Linked DNA regions of Oryctolagus cuniculus. The protein of the gene in region 3 purifies or fractionates together with the protein of the main gene of each other region. This does not show direct contact. Links are inferred from orthologs where the notes say so. Each region holds a gene or a part of one and is shown on either strand. Other genes may lie near its edges.

Region 1 (4,135 bases), on a different chromosome or scaffold from region 3:
CTGGCCACCTGTGCATCTGCCTAACCCCCATCCAACCAGCCCACCCTCATCGCTGGGCTTCCCAAGCTGCTCCCACAAACTTGACCTGAAAGGGGGGGGGTTTGACCCAACAGGGCTGACTCTTAGTCACAGGACCTGCCTGGGAGGTCTGGGGGGGGGGGTGACACACCTCCCTTCCCAGCGCCTTCCCCCAGGCCTTGCAGACAGGTCACTTTGGTCCCAGGAAGCAGAGTTTCTGGATTCCCAGCTGAAAGGTGACTGGTCCCATCCCCTTGGCCGCCCTTGTGGCCAACACTCTTGAGGCCCTACAGGCAGGCACCTGCTGCATTGGCCCCCTGCCCTGACAGGTCTGTTAGGCAGCCTGCATCTGTGAGAGGGAAGAAATGGGAATTTGTGTGGCTGGGTGAGGGAAGAACCACAGAAGCAAGCCTGGGAAGCAGAGCAGTATTTACATCTCAAAAGTCTTAGTTTCAGGTGGGGCCAGTGCTGTGGCGCAGCAGCTGAGCCTTCACCTGCAGCGCCGCATCCCATTTGGGCACCGGTTGTGTCCCGACTGCTCCTCTTCTGATCCAGCTCTCTGCTATGACCTGGGAAAGCAGTGGAGGATGGCCCAAGTCCTTGGGACCCTGCACCCACGTGGGAGACCTGGAAGGAACTCCTGGCTTCGAAGTAGTTCAACTCTGGCTGTTGCAGCCATTTGGGGAGTGAACCAGCAGAGGGAAGACCTCTCTCTTTATCCAAAACTCTGCCTGTAAAATAAATAAACACATTTTTAAAAAAAGAGCCTTGGTCTCCTTCTATAACCTTGTTGAGTGGGTCCCAGCCTTTTCCCAGGGGCAGCTTAGAGAAATCCCTGCCCTGCATTGGGGGGGTGTGTGTGTGTGTGTGTGGCTATTAGGTCCAATAATACTGCTGATGAAGTTCTGGGAGGAATTTCAGGAATTCCACACTCTGGAAGCCCTTCCCCCAGACGTGTCCCAGAAGGGGAGGGGAGGGGAGAGGAGAAAGAGGGCTATACCCGTATCCATAGAAACCCCAGTCTGAAAGCAGGTGGGTTCAGCTCTTGATGGAGATGCCCGCCTACTCTGTCAGGTGCATTCTTTTCATCAGACTTGGCCAGCACGCTTGCTGCTATTCTGTCCCATGGCTGAAGTTCTTGTGCTAAAACAAGGACCCCTGATCAACCATTCCTGGTGATGGTGAGGAAGGGCCTGGGGCGTCAGGCTCAGCCTGCTGGGCTCACAGGGCTGGGGGCGTCCATGTGTCTTTTTGAGCTGCAGTCAGCACTTGGTGACTGACTGCCGTCGCTAGTGGACGAGCCGGCCAGCCGGCCCTGGACAGCTAGGGACGCTCATGCAGGAGGCTGTGGTTGGTGTAGGGCTGCCTTCTGGGGGTCACGCATGGCAGGGCAGCAGGGTACCCTAGCAGCCAGCTGGTTCCGGCTGGTGGTGCCCACTGGGCAGCCTAGATGCCTCCTGGGATAGAGGGCTCTGTGTGTCCTCCTCTGTCCTGTGCTGGGCAACCCCTGCTGATGACCAGGGACCTGCTCTGCTGAGTCACAGCCAGGCCCAAGCCGGAGAGGGGCCTCGGACAGGACCCCAGCCCATTCCTTTCAGGAGGTACAGATGCTGAGGCCTGCTCTGGGGGTCTCCGGTGCCCTGGGGGCAATGAGGGGACAGACTGAGAGCGGTAGACCATGTCAAAGGGCAGCGGGGAGAGGGGCAAGCAGGCACGGGGCCCTGGCAGGGAGACTCGCGAGAGGCGGCCCCGGCGGTGGGGGGCGGCACCCGAAGAGTGCAGGCTCCGCCCCCAGGAGTCCACGTCGGGCGGGGCTTCCGCGTGCCCTACAAAAGCCACGCGCCACTGGCGCCACCGCCGCCGCCTCCTCCGGTGCTCCCTCGGTTGCGCAGCTGCTCGTCGTTCTCCGGCTGCGATGGCGTCGCTCACCGTGAAGGCCTACCTCCTGGGCAAAGAGGAGGCGGCGCGCGAGATCCGCCGCTTTAGCTTCTGCTTCAGCCCGGAGCCGGAGGCCGAGGCCGAAGCAGCGGCCGGCCCCGGGCCCTGCGAGCGGCTGTTGGCCCGGGTGGCCGCTCTGTTCCCGGCGCTGCGGCCCGGCGGCTTCCAGGCGCACTACCGCGGTGAGCGGGCCGGGGGGTGGCCGGGGTCCGGGGCTGCCCTTTCCTAGTCGGTGCCGGCTGCGTCGGAAGGGATGCTGTGCTGGTCGCGCTCTGGGTGAGCGGTGACCTGCGCGTACCCCACTTGCACCTCGGGTGCCAGCCCAGTGACCCAGGCCCTGTCCCTCAGGGGCCGAGGCGATCAGGCCCCGCGGGCTGGGGACTTTGGGTCGTTAGATGCTTCCTGTTCCCCGCCATAATGTTGCAGATCTCGCCAAGGACGCGCCGGGGCGTCCTCTCTGGCCCTGGGCTGAGAAGGTGGTCAGGCGGGCACTCGGGTTACACTGACATCTTGCTGCTGCCGGGGCTGGGCCCGCCGGCGCCAGGTTTGCGTTCAGCGAGCCCTGAAAGTGGGTGGTGGGCGTGGGCGGCTGGGGGACGCAGGGCCCTTGAGCCCGGGGTAGGCCGCAGGTCGCCCAGGGACAAGGCAGTGGGGAGACGGCCGATGTCGAAACGTTCTCCACAAACTCAGAGTGGGGACAAGCCCGGAGCCACCGCTCTTTCTGGCTGCGCTGCTCAGACCGGTAGCTGCTGCTGGGGGTGGGGTCCCGGGACAGCAGTGTGGGAGGGAGGTCCTCGGCCAAGGCCCGCCCCTGGGAGGGAGCAGGGCTGGGACCGCCCTCAGTAGCTTGCCCAGCATTTTTTTTTTTTTTAATTTCCTGGTGACAATTTTATTGAGCTGTAATTCACATACCATAAAATTTACTCATTTAAAGTATATAATTCAAGGGTTTAAAATTTTATTTCATTTTGAAAGGGCAGAGAGACACATACACACACACCCCAACCTACCATCTGCTGGTTCACTCCCCAATGGCTACAGCTGCCAGCCCCAGCCAGGCCAGGAGCCTGAACTCCATCAGTGTCTCCCAGGAGGGTAGCAGCAACCCAGGCACTTGAACCATCCTTTGCTGCCTCCTCCAGTGCACATTAGCAGGAAACGGGATCAGAAGTGGAGTGGCCTGGACTCCAACCAGGCACTTTCATATGGGCTGCCAGTGTTCCGGGCTGCCAGTTAGCCGCTGCAGAAATGCCTGCCCCGATGCAGTGGTCTTTAACACATTCACCAGTTGGAACTTCTGAGCAGACTTGGGGCTGGAGAGCGGGGCCAGGCGCTGGCAGTCAGCATGAGAACCCCTTCCTCTCCACTGGAACCCCATGCCTTTTACCTGTCTCCCTCAGCTCCTGCAACGCTGAGCTGCTTTCTCTCCTGGGCGTCCTCTTCTGGACAGTGGTGGAGAGGGGGTTGTACAGTTTAGCTTTGTGTCTGGCTTCTTTCCTTAGGGAAATGCGTTCAGGTTCATCAGAGGTGTAGGCTGCATCTGTATTCGTTTCTTTTGTGGATATGCCATATCGTGTTTGTGTCATTAGTTGATGGACTTTTGGGTTGTTTCGCAAAAGTGCCACTCTTGCTCTGAGGGTAGATGTTGCCCTCTGGTGCCCAAGTCCAGGCCCCGCCTGCAGCCTGTGCACGGTGCGGTCTGGTCTGGTCTGTGTGGCAATGCTTTAAAATCACGGAAGCCAACATAGAAGGACTCAGCCTTTTTTCTTCGTTGGAGAAAGCAGCAGGCCTCTGGGCTCATCTCCACTTAAACATTGCAGACAGCCCAGAGCCTTTGGCGGGCTGGGCCTCTGAGGGACAGGGCACTGTTATTGTCCGTGTAGTGTACGCGGAAACTTTGCCTTTTAGGTGTGACCGTGGCCCAGGTTCAGGCCCAGGCGGGCACACTTCCTGTCCAGTGAATGGGCAGGCTCCCTTCTTATCCCCGATCTGTCCAGCCCCACCCCTAAAGAAGTGGCCTTGGTGGGCATCAGGCCTAGTGGTTAGTTCACCCATTAAGATACCTGGGGCCCGTGTTGGATCCCAGCTCCCGACTCCAGCTTCCTGCCAGGACAGATGCTGGCAGGGGGTAGGTGAAAGTTCAAGTAATTGGGTCCTCACCTCCTACATGGGAGCCCTG
Region 2 (3,500 bases), on a different chromosome or scaffold from region 3:
GAGGAGAGGCAGAGAGACAGTCTTCCATATGCTGGTTCACTCCCCAATTGGCTGCGCTGATCCAAAGCCAAGAGCTTCTTCCAGGTCTCCCACGTGGGTGCAGGGACCCAAGCACTTGGGCCATCGTCTACTGCTTTCCCAGGCCACAGCAGAGAGCTGGATGGGAAGAGGAGCAGCCGGGACTAGAACCGGCGCCCATATGGGATGCCTGTGCTTCAGGCCAGGGTGTTAACCCGCTGCGCCACAGCACCGGCCCCAAATAAATAAATCTTAAAAAAAGAAAAACAAAGTTTATTTGAAAGGGGGGAGGGAGGGAAAGAGATTTATCTGCTAGTTAACTTCTCAAATGCCTGCAACAGGCAGGGCTGTGCCAAGCTGAACAGGAGCCATAAGCCAGCAAGTGTGGAAGCTGGTCAGAAACAGAGGTGGGTCTTGATTGGAGACACGTGGATACGGGGTGCAGGAATGCCAAGTGGCGGCTTCACCTGCTGCACCAGAACGCCTGCACCTGTGCCGCCGTATTCTATAAGGGACTTGAGCAGCTGCAGATTTTAGTCTCACGCAGGAGCCGATCCCCCACAGACGCCAAAGGACAACTGTGCTCTGTATCTGGAAGGGAGAAAAACTTCCTGAAGGCTATGCTATGCTCAAATTTAGTCTGTTTTATGAGTGATTCACACTGAGGGTCTGAGTTACCTTGAGCAAGTGCATCTGTTCTAACCTCAGTTTCCTGATCTATAAAATGGGGATAACATGAAAACAGCCTCATAGAATGATGATGATTAAATGAGTTGAAACATGGAAAGCATGACACCTGCCTCCCGTGTCAGAGTACTGGCTTGAGTCCCAGCTGCTCTGCCTCTAATCCCGCTTCCTGCTAGTGTGCCTGGGAAAACAGCTGAAGGTGGAAGTGCTCAGGCCCCTGCACCCACGTGGGAGACCCAGACAGAGTTCCTGGCTTCGAACTTTGGCCTGGCCCAGCCCCAGATGTTGAGGCCTTTTGGGGGAATGAACCAGCAGATGCAAGATCTCTCTGTCTCTAACTCTACTTTTCAAATAAATACATACATGCATCTTTTTAAAATTTTTCCTAAGGTCCACGGTAGGTAAGATGCATTTGAAACTGAAGCCCACAACCATCCATGGGCCAGTGCAGGAACTGACTAAGCTGGCAGGCCACAGGCAGCTCCGTCAAGGATCTCCTATGTTGGAGTCACAGAATCTGAGTCGTGCCTTTGATGGGCCAGGAGATTGGCTACTTCTAACAAGATGCCGTTTTACAGGAATACGGGATGTGGCTTAATAGCACTTGGTGTGAAAAGGCCTTAAAGGATTTTTTTTTTTGAAGTTATTTATTTATTTGAGAGGGAGAGATGTCTTCCATACACTGGTTCACTCCCCAGATGGCTACACCAGCCAGAGCTGAGCTGAGCCAATCCAAAGCCAGAAGCCAGGAGCTTCCTCTGGGTCTCCCCCGTGGGTGCAGGGGCCCAAGCACTTGAGCCATCTTCCACTGCTTTCTCAGGCCATAGCAGAGAGCTGGATCAGAAAAGGAGCAGCCGGGACTTAAACCAGCACCCATATGCTGGCGCCGCAGGCAGAGGCTTAACCTGTAATGTCACAGCACTGGCCCCCAGCCGTAAGGATTTTAGTCGGACTCAGCACTTGGAAGAGCACGATGGGGCGGGGTGGGTGTTGTGGTACAGCGGGGTAAGCCCCTGCTTGGGATGCTGCATCCCATAGAGGAGTCCTGAGGTCACCCACCTCCTCCAGACTTCTTTTTTTTTTTTTTTCTTTTTTTCTTTCTTTTTTTTTCTTTTTTCTTTTTTTTTTTTTTTTTTTGACAGGCAGAGTGGGCAGTGAGAGAGAGAGACAGAGAGAAAGGTCTTCCTTTACTGTTGGTTCACCCTCCAATGGCCGCTGTGGCCAGTGCGCTGCGGCTGTCGCACTGCGCTGATCCGAAGCCAGGAACCAGGTGCTTCTCCTGGTCTCCCATGGGGTACAGGGCCCAAGCACTTGGGCCATCCTCCACTGCACTCCCGGGCCACAACAGAGAGCTGGCCTGGAAGAGGGGCAACCGGGACAGAATCCGGCGCCCCGACCGGGACTAGAACCCGGTGTGCCGGCGCTGCAGGTGGAGGATTAGCCTGGTGAGCCGAGGCGCCGCCCGCCCCGCCCTGCCCCACACTTCTAATCCAGTTTTTTGCTAGTGTACCTGGGAGGTAGCAGATGATGGCTTAGGTACTTGGGCCCCTGCCACCCATGTGGGAGACCTGGACGGAGCACCTGGAGAAGCCAGTGAGGAGGGCCTGGAGGGTGTGGCATGGATGGAACACTGGGGGAAAACCGTTAGAACTGTGTGAGTCCGGAAGGGAGAATGGAGCCCACACGCAGCTATGGCAAGGAAAGTTTTCTAACACAGGGTGTGGCTAGGACCGTGGGACACAGGGACGCCTGCCCTGGGAGTTTCCCGCCCTCAAGGATGGGTCAGGGACCACAGTGACCCGCGGGGGTGCCGTCAGGGTGGCGGGGCTGTGTGTGTGGGTGTGACGCCTGGGCTTCTGGCCTTGGACACCAGCACTCGGCTCCATGGCTGCCCTTTCACTCCCAACCATCTGTCTCTCTTGCAGGGCGTCGGGAGGAGAGGAGACCTCTGGATCCCTGAATGAGGCAGAGGCCTTGGACCCAGAAGCTGCGCTCTCTCTGGAGTGGTCCCTGAACCTAGAAGACATTCTCTACCTGGGGGACTCTGATGACTTGGCCGAGCCGCTCTCTCTGGAAGACACTGAGAAGCCAGCGGCGACCCTGTTCATCGAGGAGGCGCCAGATGAGGAGGAGCCTGCGGTGGCGCCCGCGGAGCCAGGGGAGACCTCGAGGCCCGTGCAGGCCGCGGACCAGGCAGAGGCGGTCGGGAGCGAGGAGAAGCCCAGCGCCGAGGAGAGCCGGGCAGTCGCACCGCCGCCGCCGCCCAGCACCGAGGAGAGCCTGAGCGCCGAGGACCTGGAGGTGCTGGAGCAGCGTTTCCAGCAGTGCGTGCAGGCCGTGGCCCGCCTGGAAGAGGAGCGGGACCAGCTCATCCACGAGCTGGTGCTGCTGCGAGAACCGGCCCTGCGGGAGGTGCAGCAAGTGCACGGGGACATCCTGGCTGCCTACAAGCTGCACGCGCAGGCCGAGCTGCAGCGGGACGGGCTCCGGGAGGAGGTGCGGCTGGTCAAGCAGAAGCTGTTCAAGGTGACCAAGGAGTGCGTGGCCTACCAGTACCAGCTGGAGTGCCGCCAGCAGGACGTGGCCCAGTTTGCCGACTGTCGGCAGGTGCTGACCACGCGGGCGGCCCAGCTCTCCGAGGAGCTGGCGCAGCTCCGGGACGCCTACCGGAAGCAGAAGGAGCAGTTGCGGCAACGACTCGAGGCACCCCCGAGCCAGAGCGATGGGCACTTCCTCCAGGAGAGCCGGCGGCTCTCTGCCCAGTTCGAAAGTCTCATGGCGGAAAGCCGCCAGGG
Region 3 (3,500 bases):
GGGGGGAGGAAGGGGGCGGACGAAAGGAGCCCGGGCGGGCGAGGGCGGCAGGGAACCGTGCAAAGCCAGGTCTTCAACCAGCGCCTTCAAGAGCGCCCAGACCCATGCCTGGTGACGCTCCAAGGGCTGCAGAAGTTTCTCACGAGCGAGAAGTTCGCAGCCTGGGAGCAAAGCCAGACTTCGGCGAGTTCTGAAAAACTTAGGGGCGCTCTTGTGCCCCCAGCCCGGGCCGCACACATCAAAGCGGAGGCCCAGCTCCAAATCAGTGGAGATTGGAGCGATAAGTGCGCGCGGGGCCCGCGGAAACTTGAGTCAAGCTCGTCTAACGGTTTCCCCTGAACCGCTAGGTGCCCTACCCCTCGGCGGGGTGCTGTGAGTCACCGCCCGTGACTCAGCGACCCCACCCTTCTCCCCTGGGCTTCCCTCGGCCGCCGCCTCGCAGCTCGGCCGTCCCAAGCTGGACTGAGCCCCTGAGTCCCTGGACGAGACCGGGCCGGAGCCCCCTAAAGAGGACACACTGAGAAGCGTCGCGCGCAGAGGAGCCCGCCCTTGCAAACAGGCGGTGCCCGAGGCTGCGCGAAGCCCCGCGCTGCGTCTCTGGCTGTGTGCGCCCCCACCCCGCGCTCCAATCTCGGGCGCTCTTTGTCTCTTTCTCCTCCGCGCCTGGCGATCTGCTGGATCCCTTACTCCCCCTGTTCATGCCCCTTGCCCGCAGGTCTCCCCATCCAGAGGCTCCCAAACCGCAGCAATCCAGGCGCCACGCACCGCTCCCGCCCGCGCGCCTCCTCCCACGCCCCCTGGGCCGGGTGCCCGGGACCCTTTTGGTCCAGATCCAAGCGGATCCCCACACCCACCACGGCGCAACCCCGCCTTCATTAACATCCTGGGATGAAAAAGAGTTCCGGCCATCCTGAGGAAAGCCCCAGAAAGTCTCAGCGTAGCCCAGCCCAGCCCACGAAGTAACGGGACGTGGCCCAGGCCAGAGCCTCAGACTGGGAAGGCTCCAGGGCGCCCCCGCCCCAAGCCCCGGCCCACCCTTCCCACTTCTCGCCGGGTCCCCATTGGCTGGCGCTCACGGCGGCTAGGATGGCAGTGGGAGGGGACCCTCTTTCCTAACCGGGTTATAAAAACAGCGCCCTCGACGGGGTCCCGTCCTCTGCCACTCTCGCTCCGAGGTCCCCGCGCCAGAGACGCAGCAGCGCTTCCACCGCCCACACCCACCGCGCCCTCGCTCTCTTCTCGGAGCCCGTCCGCGCCGCCGCAGCCGCCCAGCCCACCACCGCCCTTTGCAGCCATGTCCACTAGGTCCGTGTCCTCGTCCTCCTACCGCAGGATGTTCGGCGGCCCGGGCACCGCCAGCCGGCCGAGCTCCAGCCGGAGCTACGTGACCACGTCCACCCGCACCTACAGCCTGGGCAGCGCGCTGCGCCCCACCAACAGCCGCAGCCTCTTCTCCTCGGGGTCGGGGACCGCGTACGTCACGCGCTCCTCGGCGGGGCGCCTGCGGAGCAGTGTGCCCGGCGTGCGGCTGCTGCAGGACTCGGTGGATTTCTCCCTGGCCGACGCCATCAACACCGAGTTCAGGAACACCCGCACCAACGAGAAGGTGGAGCTGCAGGAGCTGAATGACCGCTTCGCCAACTACATCGACAAGGTGCGCTTCCTGGAACAGCAGAACAAGATCCTTCTGGCCGAGCTCGAGCAACTCAAGGGCCAGGGCAAGTCCCGCCTGGGGGACCTCTACGAGGAGGAGATGCGGGAGCTGCGCCGGCAGGTGGACCAGCTCACCAACGACAAGGCCCGCGTCGAGGTGGAGCGCGACAACCTGGCCGAAGACATCATGCGGCTCCGGGAGAAGTAAGGCTTGCGGGGCCCCGGGAGGGAGCTGGGACCGGGCCCCCCCGAGAGGGCTGCCACGCCCTTGGGGCGTTGGCCGGGGCGGCTGCAGCCTAGGGGACTGCAGGGGCGCGGCAATGTGGCTGCGGCGGCGCAGCCCCGCCCTGAACCCGAGCCGTGCGGTTAGCATTTCCCTTACCCATAACCCAAGTAGGTCCGTTTCAAGTTAAGAGATTTCTTAAAACGACCGCTTTGTGCGTGCTCGAAGGCCCTTGGGCACGACCGAAGCGACGGGCCCAAACTTTCAGAAAGTTTCCCGGCCCCTGCTGGCACGCTGCCAGTCCCCAGGCGGGAGGAGGAGGGGGAGGCTGCGGAGGAAGCAAGACAAAGGGATGGCCGAGGGTCCCCAGGGGCGGGGCGGCGGCTGCCACTGGCATCGCCTTTCCACGCCGGGCCGCCCCAGGTCCCGCGAAAACCCGCCGGGGAGAGTGGTGCCGAAGGCTGCGGTCGCTCGTCTGCTGCCCGCTGGGGTGGCGCCGTGGCTCGTGGCTCGCGGCTCGCGGCTCGGGACTCGCGACTCGCGGTCGGGCGACGTGGTGGCTGGGTGTGGCCGCCCCGCCCCCGGCGGTTTCCCGGTTCCTCTTTGGCTGACGAGCAATTGTTTTCAGGTTGCAGGAGGAGATGCTGCAGAGAGAGGAAGCCGAGAGCACCCTGCAGTCTTTCAGACAGGTTTGTGGACTCCCTCCCCCCCCCCCCCCAAGGCGGCCTCAGGGCCACACCCAGCCACCCCGCCGGCCCGCTCTCAAAGTTTCTAACTTTTCAGTCTATAAGCGCAAAACTTCACATCTGTGCGCAAAGCCCCCTAGCGGCGGCAAGACCACGGCTTAGAGCCTCTCAGTAAAAAAAACCCTTGAATGATTTCCTTAGTTGCTTAGGACATAAAGTCTTTTATACTTTTTTGTTTTGTTTTGTTTCAACAGTTATTTTCCCCCCAAGACATATTTTTTCATATCATTTTTGCAACACATTAACATTCGGATTGCGAACAGTTACAGTTTGGCTTAGATTCTGGTTTGCTAAAGCCAAGCTGGTTGACTTTTTACAAGGCCACAAAAAGCGCAGTTAGGCCCTGTGGCTTCCAATGTAAAATGTGTTGGAGGATGAGACGCTGGCATGCAGCCAGTAGGCTGCTTCCCTGCTCTGCAAGTCTATTGTGGCGTTCAAGTTAGGTGGAAGTTATCACTAGGCACAGCCATCTGCGCGCTCAGCTGAAGGGTGTTAGTGGTTCCCATGGGCTTCACCAGGAATGTAGATACAGACGTGCTGGCAAATGTGGTGGCCCTAGACAGACATAATAGGAGTCTTTGTGTTCCCAGAACAGCTTTGCTGCAGGCTACATTCTCATTGAGAATGTAGTGATGTAAGCACAGTTCTCATTGGACAGAAGTATTTGCCAACATCAGCTACCTACTCTCTGGCCCAGACTTGGGAAGGCTGCGATGTGAAACCTTGCACACGCTACAGTCATTCTTTGTGTTTTGAAAGACCTGTATGGGGGTCTTTGACACTATCTCCATCAACAAAAATAACTGCAGAGTGTTTTTTTTTTTTTTTTTTTTTGGCTCTAAAGTTAGATGGACTTAAAGGAATTTTAACTTACAATT
Region 4 (3,942 bases), on a different chromosome or scaffold from region 3:
CCGGACATGCCCCAGCACCCCTGCCTTTATTTTGCCATGGACTCTGGGAGCAGAGGCCTTGGCAGGGGGGTGCCCCTAACAGCCGGGCCCCCACCCTTCACAAGGCGCAAAACCCCTTCCGGGGGCTCAGACGGACGCTAGGCCAGCAGGTCCTGGGTTTCAGTTTTCCCTGGGGCAACAGGAAATGCGGTCAGCAAAGGGCTGGGCAGGGCCAGTGGCACTGGGCTGGAGAGGAGTCCGGCTCCATGAAGTTCAGGCTAGGAAAGGTCTTGGAAGTCACCTAGCGCAGCTCCTAGCTCCCAGGCAAGGCCGCAGCCCGGAGAGGGGGCAAGTCTCCTAACTGAGGCTGCCCAAGAACAGGCTCCCTAGGTGTGCGCACACACGCAGAGACTGGCATCGCCCCCCCCTAGGCGAGGGCCCATGCAGATGCCCCCTGGGTGCCCAGCCCCGTCTCCAGAGGCCATCTCACTCTGCTTGCGGCACTTTGCTGGCCACTGGCCACTTCTCTGGTCCTGGACCCAGCGAGCAGCAGGTGGGCTCAGGTGGGACATGTGCTGGTACACGAGTGACCGGCCTCGAATCACAGAACCCAGGGAGGGCAGAGCTGCCCCCACTCATGCCTCTGGGTCCCCTCAGCAAAGGGGCCCCTGCCCTGGTAAGCGCGTGGGCATCCGGGGGCCTGGGTGGGTCCGGGGCCACCCGTACCTGTAGGTGGCCACCTCCAGGCTGAGAGACATCTTGAGGTGTGCCAGCTGCTGCCGACCTTCCAGGACCTGGGCGATCTGGCTCTGCAGGCCCTGCTTCTCCTGCTCCAGGGCCTCCACGGCCAGCTGCGGAGCAAGCCAGAGGAGTCAGTGAATGGTGGGGGCCTCGGGCCACTCACCTACAGCCCCCGCCCCGCAGTGGCCCCCGCCCGCAGCAGCCCCAGCGTCTCCAGCTCTCTGGTTTGCTGAAGCTACAGCAGACCCCCGTCCCCCTCCCCCACCCCACTCCCACCCCCACCCCCACCCCCACCCAGGGAACCCCAGCTGTGCTGGTGGAGAAGAGCCGAGCCCCTCTCCCGGCCCCCTCTCCCCCAGCCCGGCTCCTCCTCTGAGGAGGCTGATTAAATGGTAGCACATGCTGGGAACTCAGCTCCCACAGGAAGGGGGAGGTGAGGGAGGAGAGGAGATGGGTTACAGAGAAGAGGAGAAAAAAGTGGAGGCAGAAGGAAAAACGATTAATCAGGAGGCCTGGAGCCTGCAGGACTGCAAGCCGCATGGCCGGGCCGTCAGCAGGCCCCCACCCCTCCACTTCCCACAAGTTCTGGAATCTTTCTCCTCTGAGAGGAGGTGGGGGGGGGGGTGGCCATGGCGAGACCTCTGTCTGGCCCACGCAACAGGCTGTTTGCTCAGCTGCTGGTCACATCTGTGCCGGGTGAGGGGGAGCAGCTGTCCCAGGCCTCCGGAATGTGCTCCCAGGAGCCAAGGAGCCCAGACAGGGGAGAGGGGCTGCTGGGCCCTGATCCAGGCCCCTCGGCCCTCCTGCAGGGAGAGGAGGGTACAAAGGACCCTGGAGAGCCAAATCAGGGGTGACGCACGGAGGGGGTGTGCCCGGCGTCTGCTGAGCGACCACACAACCTAGGCAGGGGCCCTCGGGGAGGGAAGGGGCTGCTGCCAGGGGTCCTGGCCTGCCTGCCTATCCAGGCAAGCATATGCAGAGGCCTCTGACAGCCCACTGAGCCGGGCTGTCCCCAGGTTCGAGTTTTCTGAGAAGTGGCTCGGCTCCCGACTTGGCAGTCACTCATGCCCTACTCCTTTCCCGAAGGAGTCTGAGCCTCCTGGGGGCTTCCTGGAGCCTGGTCTCATGCAGGTCTGCCACCTTCTCACCTGGAAGTTCTCAGTGGCACGCAGCCGCTCCTGCCAGCGGCCCTCCAACCTCTGCTCCAACGCCGCCCTGCGCTCCTGGAGGCCGCCGCGCTCCGCCTGCAGCTGCTGCAGCTCCAGGCGGCTCTCGCGGGCGCCCTGCACCGCGCGGCCCAGCCGCTCGCGCGCCTGGCCCAGCGATGTCTCCATGTGCGCCACGCGCTCCTGGTAGCCGCGCACGGCCCCGCGCCACGCCTCGCCCAGCCGCTGGGCCAGCTCCTCCACCTCGGGCGCGGGCGCGGGGGGCGCGCGGGGCGGCGCGGGGCCCCGGGGGGCGCAGGCAGCCTGCGCGTTCAAACTGGCGCGCTCCTCCTCGTGCGCGGCGCGCAGAGCCTCCAGCTCGCGCTCCAGCTCGGCCGCCTGGTTGGTCAGCCAGCCCCGGGCGCACTTCTCCGCCTCGACGGCGCGCCGGCTGCGGGCTGCCTCCTCGGCCGTGCGCTCCCGGGCCAGCCGCAGCTGCTGGCATCGGCCGGCCACACCCTCCAGCTCTTCGGCCAGGTTGTCGCGCGCCACCTCGGCCGCGTGCTTCTCCCGCCAGCGCTGGTCCACGAGGGCCCTCAGGGCTGCCAGTTCATCGTCGGCGCGGGCCCGCCAGGAGGAGTCCCCAGCCTGCGCCCGGAGACCCCCGAGCTCCGCGCTGAGCAGCTCATTCTGCTCTTCGAGCGCCTTGACCCGAGCCAGATAGGCCTCCAGGCGCCGGTTGAGCTCCCACATCTGAAAAGACTCCTCTCCCATGCAGCCCTCCATCCTGCTCGTCTGACCCACCGAGGGTGGACGGACGCGGGGCACCGGGAGAAGGGAGCGGCCCTCGGAGCCTTTAGGACGGAAGAGAAAAAAGGCGACCGGAGGGGACAATGACGGGGCGGGGCGGGGAGAAGCCCGAGCGACTGAGAGTCGGGAGTGGGAGCGAGGCTATTCATACTCCCGCCAGCCAGGCGGGAAAGGGGCGGGTCCAGGCTTTAACCCCTTAGAGTTCAGCCTCGGCACGGGGCTGTCTCCCTGCGGGCTCGGGGCGCCGGAGGGTGGACCACGGGAGACACCCTGCCGCAAGGAACCCTATGCGACGGTGGCGGCTCTCAGACGGGTGCGGCGCGGTGAGGAAGGATCACAACGCCCAGAAAAGCAGATGAGGCACAGAACTGAGCCCGCAGGGGCCGCCGAGGCCGGGGTGCGAGCATCCCGTTACTCAGCACTCCCAAAAGAGCAGTAGTTCCCGAATTCCTCTAAGATTTACTTTCTTCATCCATAGAAGGCGAAGCTCCATGGGCCTCTGAAAGGGCGTGGCCACACTTTTCATAAATAGCAAAAGCTGACCCTGGAGAGAGATGGGGTTTCTTGGAGGACAAAAGGATCAGATATCTGATACTGGGGGACACACACGCGCACGCACACACACGCACACACTATTGCCTAGCTCCTGTCAGGAACGGGAGAGACCAGACAAAGGGAACGCGTGGAACGGACTTGGGAATGCTTTCTCTGTTTCACCCTCTCCTTCCTACATCTGGTTCCTATACCCCAGTTCTCAGGGACGGGCCCCCATCTTCTCCCGGCTCCAGGGATTTTTAGGCAGAGAGCACCGCCTGGTGGCGTAAAGATGCGATCCAGAAGTCCCAGAGGCAGCTCTTCCCTCCCTCCCAGGAAGTCCAAGTTTGCTGAGCGTGGGTGGTGGGTCAGCCTGTGTTCTAATATTTCCCTTCCATGGGCTGACGTAACTCTCCAAACGGCCTCCATGGATCCCGCAGTCCAGGCGGCAGGGCGCTCACGGGGGCACAGTGGGACCTGGGGTAAGTGGAATAAAGGCTAAGCAGGTGGGGGGGGAGGGGTCTCTGGGACAGGGATGCCGAATATCCGAGATCCCTAGGGTCCTTGGGGGTGTCCCCTGAGTGGTGGGGTGGGCACGGGGTGGAAAGTTTCTCTTCTGGGCCCTTAGACACCCCAAGAGGTCATGGGTCCCAGGCAAGGAGCAGGCACCCATAGCCTGGTGGGGCCAACGTCAATGTTTACCAGACTGGAAACAGAAAATAAATTTATGAAG
Region 5 (3,940 bases), on a different chromosome or scaffold from region 3:
GGAGACCCCGCGGCGTGCAGGCCGCCACTTCCACACACCAGCGCGCACCTCCGCCTGCGCTCGCGCGCACCCGGCGCCTGGCACGGCGCCTGCGGAATGAATTCCCTGCGCGGAGCCAAGCACAGATCGTGGGAACATTCTGGTCTCGGCGGGGGGGGGGGGGGGGGGGGCCTCGGGTCGCACGTTTGCTAACGGGGCAGACTCCGCGCGTAACCACGTCTACGCAGTCAGAACCTCGGCGAGGCGACGACCACCACCACCCAACGCGGCAGCCGCAGAAACGGAAACCCGCGCCCGGCGCCCAACGCCCAGGACTCCGGCGTCCACTGGCGTCCATTGGCGACCATGGCCTGCACGCCTGGCCACCCTCGGGGTGCGGGGGGAGGTGGTCGGGGCGCAGCGCTGCCCGCCGCCGGGACCCCCGGCTTCTCCCTCGGGCCCGGCAAATCGCCGCCCGCGCCCGGACCCGGACCCCGACGCCGAGGGGCGCCCGCCCGCCGCCGCCGCCAACGGTCCGACCCCAGGCCCGGCTCTCACCTCTCCACCCACTCTCTCAGGAAGCGCATCTCCTCCGTGTGCAGGACGCTCGGGTCCTGCTTACATAACTTCACGAAGGCCCGGAGCTCGTTCACTTTGCGGGGATCCATGGTCGGCGGGCGGCGGCTGGCGGCCCCGATTCCAGGCCCGGGCGCTGGCTCAACGTGACCGCGTTAGTAGGGGGGCGGCTGCCGCGAGGCAGAACAGACTAGAACCTCCCCGGCCGCCGGCTCCGCCCACCCAACGGTCTCGTGACCCCGGGTCCTTCGCTAGCTCGCTGCTACCCGCTGCGCACTGCTCAGAACCTTCTAGAAGTGTGGGTGTTCGTGCTGTTGCCTGCCTCTCGTCGCACACACCTCTGAACCGGCTCCCAGGAGAGGCCGACTCCCTACGTGGGTGCCTTCAAAGAAGCGGGAGACGGCCCCTCCGGGCAGTCTGTCAGAATACGACCTTCTGGGGACGTGGGCATTAAGTGGAGCCTGACCCCAGGACCGAAGAACGGACCTTCCGGCTAGAGCGAAGGCCCCAGGAGGGGCGTGACGTCATCACAGCACGCCCGCAGGAACGGCGCCCGCCGGAAGGGGCGGGTCGGTTGGCTTGGTTTCCTGGCGACGCGGCCCTGCTGCAGGCGGCTTCCCGGAGCGCTGGGCCTCTTCTCCTGACGCGTGGGCTAGACCGTCATGCCTTGGCTGCTCTCAGCTCCCAAGCTGGTTCCCGCCATAGCCGGCGCTCGCGGCCTCTCAGGTCAGACCTCTCCTCCCAAAAGGTGTCCCCTGTAGTGCCGGCCCTGAGAAACTGGGGCGCGCTAGACGGGGATTCAGGTTGGCCGCAGGCGGGCCCTGGTGTCTGCGGACGCTTCTACTGGGGCCCGCCGCTCCTAACCCGCGCTGTGCGTTCTCTGCGGACGTCTGCGTTCCCGCCTGCGCCTGGGAGAGGGTGGGCTCGTGCGTTGTCGCTGCGGTGACTGCGAACGTGTGCCAGCCCCGAAAAGGGGGGCTGTCTCCCCGAGATGCTGCGGCCCACGCACGTTGAGTCAGTGGTCGCCTCTTGCTTAAGGCCAGGGAGCTCCAGTTTCGGTGAAGTCAACGTAAAATCCCGTTCGTCGTCGGGGTTGACTTCAGCACGCACAAGACCCAAGCCTCTCTGAACAGGCCCTCCCCACAAGAGCTACTCCCGGGCCGCCCTGTCTGTGGAGACGAGAGGAGTAAGGGGGACTGCCCTCTGCCAGGCGTGCTGTTTAACCTGGTGAGAGTGGAAGCTGCATCTTGCACCTTCCAGGCGGATCCGCCATGGGGTCGGATTTCAGGTTGGGAGGGGGCCGTAACAGGCATATGGTATTGGACAGCAAATCCGTGTCCCTTGGTGCGTGTGTATACGGAGTCCTGGAAAAACGGACCCACCTCCTCCTCACTCCGTAAGAATAAAAGCCAGTGTCCAGCGCGCCGGACTTGCTCTTGCGTTCTGTAGATCGGCCGCGGGAAGCTGCCTGCGTGGAATTCAGCGAAAAGGCACCCGTGCGATTGAGCGCTCACCGCAGAGGCCACACCTGCAGCTGTCTGTGCCTCTGACTTGGGGAGTTCAGGAGGCTTTGTCCAGCACCCGAGTAATTGAGACTTAGGACTAGATACTGGTTATACACGCCCAAATATTTGAAATAAATTAGCAAGTTTAACCTCTTTTATTAAAAGATTTTTTTTTTTATTTATTCGAAAGAGAGGGAGAGACGGAGGCATCTTCCATCTGCTGGTTTACTCCCCAGAGAGCCACAACAGCCAGGGCTAGGCCGGGCTGGACCAGGACAGAGCCAGGAGCCAAGAGCCAGGAGCTTCTTCCAGGTCTCCCACATAGATAGCAGGGGCCCAGGCATTTGGGCTATCGTCTGCTGGTTTTCCCAGACCATTAACAGGGAGCTGGATTGGAAATGGAGCAACTGGAAGGTGAGCCGGTGCCCCATGGGATGTCAATGTCACAGGTGGCTTTACCCGCTAGACCATAACGCCAGCCCCTAGTTTAACCTCTTATGTCATAAAATATATATCAGCTTTTTGAACTCAATGAATGATCTTGAATTGTCATAAGTCCAGTAAGGGCAGAGGTGCTTGTTTGACCAGTGAGGAGCTGAAACAGGATCACAATAAGTCAGGAGTTCTTCTTCTTCTTCTCCCTTTTTTTTTTTTTTTTTTTTTTTGATTTTAGACAGGCAGAGTGGACAGTCAGAGACAGACAGAGAGAAAGGTCTTCCTTTGCCGTTGGTTCACCCTCCAATGGCCGCCGCGGCCGGTGCACCGCGCTGATTCGAAGGCAGGAGCCAGGTGCTTCTCCTGGTCTCCCATGGGGTGCAGGGCCCAAGCACTTGGGCCATCCTCCACTGTACTCCCTGGCCACAGCGGAGAGCTGGCCTGGAAGAGGGGCAACCGGGACAGAATCCGGCGCCCCGACCGGGACTAGAACCCAGTGTGCCGGGACTAGAACCCGGTGTGCCGGTGCCGCAAGGCGGAGGATTAGCCTGGTGAGCCGCGGTGCCGGCCATCTTTTTTTTTAAGAAATTATATAATCGAGGCAGAGAGTGAGAACCCTAGCATACACAGCCGCATACTCTAGTTCACTCCCCAAATGCCTGCACAGGCCTAACTCGGCCATGGTTACAGCATGTAGCTGGGAACTCAGTCCAGGTCTCGCACCTGCGTGGCAGGGACCCAGCTACTTGGGCCGTCAGCTGCTGCCTTCCAGAGTCTGCATCAAAGGCATGTGGAATAGGAGGCAGAAGAATCACTGTGGGACGTGGGCATCTTGACCACTAGGCCAAATGCCCATCCCTTGCTTGTCATTTAGAAAACCTCAAGTCCATGTCTGTCTGGCTACCTTTCAAATTAACAATTAAAAAAATCAGAAAGTTAATCTGAAGTTTGAAAGACTTCTAGCAAGCAGACTAGAGGAAAGGAGCTATCCTGGTGGAGGGAACATCTGCAGAGGCACAGAACTGAAACAGAACGGCTGATCTATGGGTTGCAGCCATTGGTGTGACTGGAGATTTTTGTTTTTAAAATATGTGTTACACCACAAGGACCCACGTGTGGGCAGTACTGTGTTTCTTAATGTCCATAACAGTGTAATTCTCAGTCTCTGAGAAGATGTATTTGGCAATATGTATTTGACCATGGATTCTCTTTTCTGTGGTGAGTCTTTTTTTTTTTTTTTTTTTTTTTTTGACAGGCAGAGTGGACAGTGAGAGAGAGAGACAGAGAGAAAGGTCTTCCTTTTTGCCGTTGGTTCACCCTCCAATGGCCGCCATGGCTGGCACGCTGCGCCAGCGCACCGCGCTGATCTGATGGCAGGAGTCAGGTGCTTATCCTGGTCTCCCATGGGGTGCAGGGCCCAAGGACTTGGACCATCCTCCCTTACA
Region 6 (3,935 bases), on a different chromosome or scaffold from region 3:
CAGGCTATGAAACGAGGCAGTGCAAAGGCCCTGAGGTGTGTGCGTGGCAGGCCTCTGCTCAAGGAAGAGCAAGAAGGCCAGTTTGATTGGCACACACTGAGAGGGGGGATGTGGCGGGCAATGAGGTCACAGATGAGACAGAGGTCACATTCCACAGGCCTTTGTAGGCCACAGTAAGGACTTTAGCTTTTTTTTTTTTTTCCTTGATTTTGATGGAGGGTTTTGAATGAGGAAGCAGCTTGACTTATTGCCTTATGGGGAGGAAGAATCCACAAGGGGGCAAGAGAAGAGCAGGGTAGGGTGAGAAGGCTGCTGCAGGAGTCGAATGGTGCTAGGTCAGGGGCTGTTGGTGGAGGCTTCTAGAAGCAGCTGCACACTGAGGAGGGCCTGCCTAGAAGCTGCAGGACTCGCTGAATGCGATGAAGGCTGCATGACCCCAGGTTCCTGTTCGTGGGGAAATGATGGCGCTCCCACTTGCCTGGGGAACGGTGAGATGCCAGGGATAGTCAGGAGTTGATTTCCTGGCGTCTGTGGACACGTGCCTGGGGATGCCAAGGGGCCGCCAGCTCAGCAGCTGGAGGGGACGCGGGGACGCGGGGACAGCAGCTCTGAGGTGCTCTCTGTGGAGAGAAGAGTCCTTCCTCCCTGTATGCGGCAGGTACTTACCGAGCCCCTACTGTGTGTGTCCGGCGTCGTGCTGGGTGCGGGGTCTGGACAGAGATGGTCACTCACTCCGTGGAGCATCGTGGCCAGTTAATTAGTGCACTGGTGCCCAAGACACCTCTCTGGCGACTGTAAACATACAGAGCCAACGTTGCAGGCACGGAGAGGTTCTCTGACTCAGCGATTTGGAAGCGCTTTGATTTTTCGGAAACAAAAGAACTATATTTAGATTTGGACACATGACAGACCTACCCAATAAAATGTCTGAGGACTACCTCAAGATGAATCAGAAGAGACGGTCTCGACCAAATTAATGTTTACGAAGAGTCAGGTTGGTGTCATGGAAAAGCTTACAGGGCTGGAAGGCAGAAGGGCTGCGCCTCGGTCTGCGTGGGCCCTGCTGGGCCGCGTGCGACCTTCACTCAGGTTTCACGCACATGGATGTTGGATTTGAGGTGAGAGTTCTGAAAAGTTTTTTATTTTTTTTAAATTTTTTTTATTTTTGACAGGCAGAGTGGACAGTGAGAGAGAGAGACAGAGAGAAAGGTCTTCCTTTTGCCGTTGGTTCACCCTCCAATGGCCGCCATGGCCAGCATGCTGCGGCCAGCGCACTGCGCTGATCTGAAGGCAGGAGCCAGGTGCTTCTCCTGGTCTCCCATGTGGGTGCAGGGCCCAAGCACTTGAGCCATCCTCCACTGCACTCCCGGGCCACAGCAGAGAGCTGGCCTGGAAGAGGGGCAACCGGGACAGAATCCGGTGCCCTGACCGGGACTAGAACCCGGTGTGCTGGCGCCGCAAGGCGGAGGATTAGCCTAGTGAGCCGCGGCGCCGGCCCAAAAGTTTTCAAACTGTGAGTTGTTCCCCTGCCGTTCAGTACTGCTTTTACTGGCCTCTCTCTCTTATTGTGAAAGTCCAAATCCCCAAGGGCATCCGTCTCTTGACTCGTTTTTCAAAGCAAGAGAACCTTCTTCTTTCTGCAAATGGAAATTGCTTTCTTGTTTTTTATTTTCCTGGTTGTAAAAAGGGCACATGGCTCATGCAGAAAATACAAATGGGGGAAAGTGCAAAGGTAGCAAAAGTCTCTAATACCACTCGCATGGTAGCGTCAGTGTCCCTGTGCCCGCAGCACGTCAGATGGCAGGTGTCTAAACACTTGTTGAGTGAGTGATTACTGTTGATCTCTTGCAAACATCCTTTTTGGTTCTCAGATAAAACAAAACCATTTATCTGAGACTGAAACTGCCAAGATGTTATCACATCTCTTAGATGACGTTGCACAATGGCACCTGATTTCTGACACCTATGGAATGTGGGGGAACAATAACATGATATTCCCCACTCTCTTGGCCATAATGTCAAGGGCGGCTTGGTTTGAGCAATATCAAGAAAGGCTTCAAAACAGTCCCAGGCTCCACGGGAGTGGCTCCTGCAGCAGTGGGAGGCCGGCTCTGCCTCCCAAATCCTCCCTCCCACACCTGGGCCCTCTTCCTTCCCCAGGGCACCTGAACCCAACTCAACACTTCCTACTGGCAAAGCAAGATGGCTCCCTGATTCCCTCTAAAATGAATTAAAGCCAGATGCTGTCTGCAGCCCATGCTTCTTCAGTCTCCAAATGGAATGTGTTAATACTGACAAACCTGACTGTTCACTCTGTTGAAGAACTGTCAAATCTGGTACCACTGGACTCTTACCCTACAGAGCCATCAGTTCCCCATAACCACCTCACCCCTATGGTCTGACACCCCAAATCCCGTTCTGCTTTGGTCATGTACCTGACTCCCACCCCTAGCTCATTATGTGACGCATTCAGGGTTCTCCCGTCAAGCACCAGTCACTGGGGACACGAGAGGACGCAGGAGCTTAGGGGAAGACTTTTAACCAACAAATGGTGGTGCGGTGTGGCAGGTGCAGCACACAGGCATGGACACAGCGCAGGGGAGCTGACTGCGGGGGTCGAGGCTGAGCTACAGGAAGAGTGAGTTCACCACGCGATGGAGGCGCAAACCATGCAAACCGCGGGGGTGGCAGAACTGTACAGGTGTCCTGCCCTCCGGCCCCCTCAGGCCAGCAACTCCTCCTGGCCTACACGGGTCTGTCCAGGAGCCTCCGGCCCGGTCCTCTCGTTGTTTCCTTCTGTCAATAACCGCAGGTCCACGTGTGCCCAGAGGAGGCTGACTAATCCCACCCTCCTCCAGTTACTTCAGCTAAGGCCGCCCTCCCACTCCAGGATGGCCGGCCATCTGACCCTGGTGGAAGACGTAGCACTCCACACTCAGCATTTTCTTTCTTTTTTTTTCTGGACAGGCAGAGTTAGAGAGAGAGAGAGAGAGAGAGGTCTTCCTTTACCGTTGGTTCAGCCCCCAAGAGGCTGCTATGGCCGGCACGCTGCGCCAATCCGAAGCCAGGAGTCAGGTGCTTCCTCCTGGTCTCCCATGAGGGTGCAGAGCCCAAGCACTTGGGCCATCCTCCACTGCCTTCCTGGGCCACAGCAGAGAGCTGGACTGGAAAAGGAGCAACTGGGACAGAACCCGGCGCCCCAACCGGGACTAGAACCCAGGTGCCAGCGCCACAGGCAGAGGATTAGCCTAGTGAGCCGCGGTGCCCTTTCTTTCTTTAAAGATTTATCTTTTTTTACTTGAGAGTCAGAGCTACACAGAGAGGAGTGGGGGGGGGAGGGAAAGAGAGAGGTTTTCCATCCGCTGGTTCACTCCCCAAATGGCCGCAACGGCTGGAACTGTGCCGATCCGAAGCCAGGAGCCAGGAGCTTCTTCTGGGTCTTCTGGGTCTCCCATGCAGATGCAGGGGCCCAAGGACTTGGGCCATCTTCTACTGCTTTCCCAGGCCATAGCAGAGAGCTGGATCAGAAGTGGAGCAGCCAGGACTCGAACCAGCGCCCATATGGGATGCCGGCACTTCAGGCCAGGGCGCCAGCCCCCGCAGTCATATTTTCAAGTAGCTACATTTTGCAGTGAACTTTCCCTGCCATATGTCGTTTTTGACTCTAATGACAATCCACTTGAGGAAAAAAAAACCACAAATAATGTGTATAACTGATTTAGAAAAAATTTATTAAGCGCCTATAGTCACAGTTCCCTCCATCTGACATTCAGTGAGCACCACTGTGTGCCCAGCACTGGGCTTGGCGCCGGCGAGTGGTGCCAAGAGACAATGAACATACAAGCTAGGAGGCGGCCTGCATAAAGTCATCGCAGCGAGTTTCCGGCCCGAGCAGCGTTCAAAGTACAGCAGCTCCTTGGAGAAAGGCGCGCCAA

The links.
Region 1: the proteins of VIM (region 3) and SQSTM1 purify together in Homo sapiens (affinity purification with western blotting; 3 studies listed by BioGRID and IntAct, with this or other methods). This does not show direct contact. The link is inferred for Oryctolagus cuniculus from reciprocal best matches to the Homo sapiens genes VIM and SQSTM1.
Region 2: the proteins of VIM (region 3) and SYNC purify together in Homo sapiens (affinity purification with mass spectrometry; 3 studies listed by BioGRID and IntAct, counting the BioPlex papers as one, with this or other methods). This does not show direct contact. The link is inferred for Oryctolagus cuniculus from reciprocal best matches to the Homo sapiens genes VIM and SYNC.
Region 4: the proteins of VIM (region 3) and NES purify together in Homo sapiens (affinity purification with mass spectrometry; 3 studies listed by BioGRID and IntAct, counting the BioPlex papers as one, with this or other methods). This does not show direct contact. The link is inferred for Oryctolagus cuniculus from reciprocal best matches to the Homo sapiens genes VIM and NES.
Region 5: the proteins of VIM (region 3) and XPNPEP3 purify together in Homo sapiens (affinity purification with mass spectrometry; 3 studies listed by BioGRID and IntAct, with this or other methods). This does not show direct contact. The link is inferred for Oryctolagus cuniculus from reciprocal best matches to the Homo sapiens genes VIM and XPNPEP3.
Region 6: the proteins of VIM (region 3) and GAN purify together in Homo sapiens (affinity purification with mass spectrometry; 3 studies listed by BioGRID and IntAct, counting the BioPlex papers as one, with this or other methods). This does not show direct contact. The link is inferred for Oryctolagus cuniculus from reciprocal best matches to the Homo sapiens genes VIM and GAN.

The regions. Positions count from the first base shown.
Region 1 is NC_091437.1:67,652,959-67,657,093, reverse strand, and holds the start of SQSTM1 (sequestosome-1), read left to right. Parts: upstream 1-1,335; 5' UTR 1,336-1,696; coding exon 1,697-2,138; intron 2,139-4,135. UniProt on the Homo sapiens protein: Molecular adapter required for selective macroautophagy (aggrephagy) by acting as a bridge between polyubiquitinated proteins and autophagosomes.
Region 2 is NC_091438.1:139,843,896-139,847,395, forward strand, and holds part of SYNC (syncoilin), read left to right. Parts: intron 1-2,630; coding exon 2,631-3,500.
Region 3 is NC_091444.1:43,369,833-43,373,332, forward strand, and holds part of VIM (vimentin), read left to right. Parts: 5' UTR 1-1,294; coding exon 1,295-1,857; intron 1,858-2,504; coding exon 2,505-2,565; intron 2,566-3,500. UniProt on the Homo sapiens protein: Vimentins are class-III intermediate filaments found in various non-epithelial cells, especially mesenchymal cells. Vimentin is attached to the nucleus, endoplasmic reticulum, and mitochondria, either laterally or terminally.
Region 4 is NC_091438.1:42,101,868-42,105,809, reverse strand, and holds the start of NES (nestin), read right to left. Parts: upstream 2,801-3,942; 5' UTR 2,652-2,800; coding exon 1,869-2,651; intron 831-1,868; coding exon 706-830; intron 1-705. UniProt on the Homo sapiens protein: Required for brain and eye development.
Region 5 is NC_091442.1:116,931,534-116,935,473, forward strand, and holds the start of XPNPEP3 (xaa-Pro aminopeptidase 3), read left to right. Parts: upstream 1-1,140; 5' UTR 1,141-1,217; coding exon 1,218-1,281; intron 1,282-3,940. Other genes in the region: ST13 (hsc70-interacting protein), read right to left, coding at 538-647. UniProt on the Homo sapiens protein: Catalyzes the removal of a penultimate prolyl residue from the N-termini of peptides, such as Leu-Pro-Ala. Also shows low activity towards peptides with Ala or Ser at the P1 position.
Region 6 is NC_091449.1:63,462,506-63,466,440, forward strand, and holds the start of GAN (gigaxonin), read left to right. Parts: upstream 1-1,135; 5' UTR 1,136-3,935. UniProt on the Homo sapiens protein: Probable cytoskeletal component that directly or indirectly plays an important role in neurofilament architecture.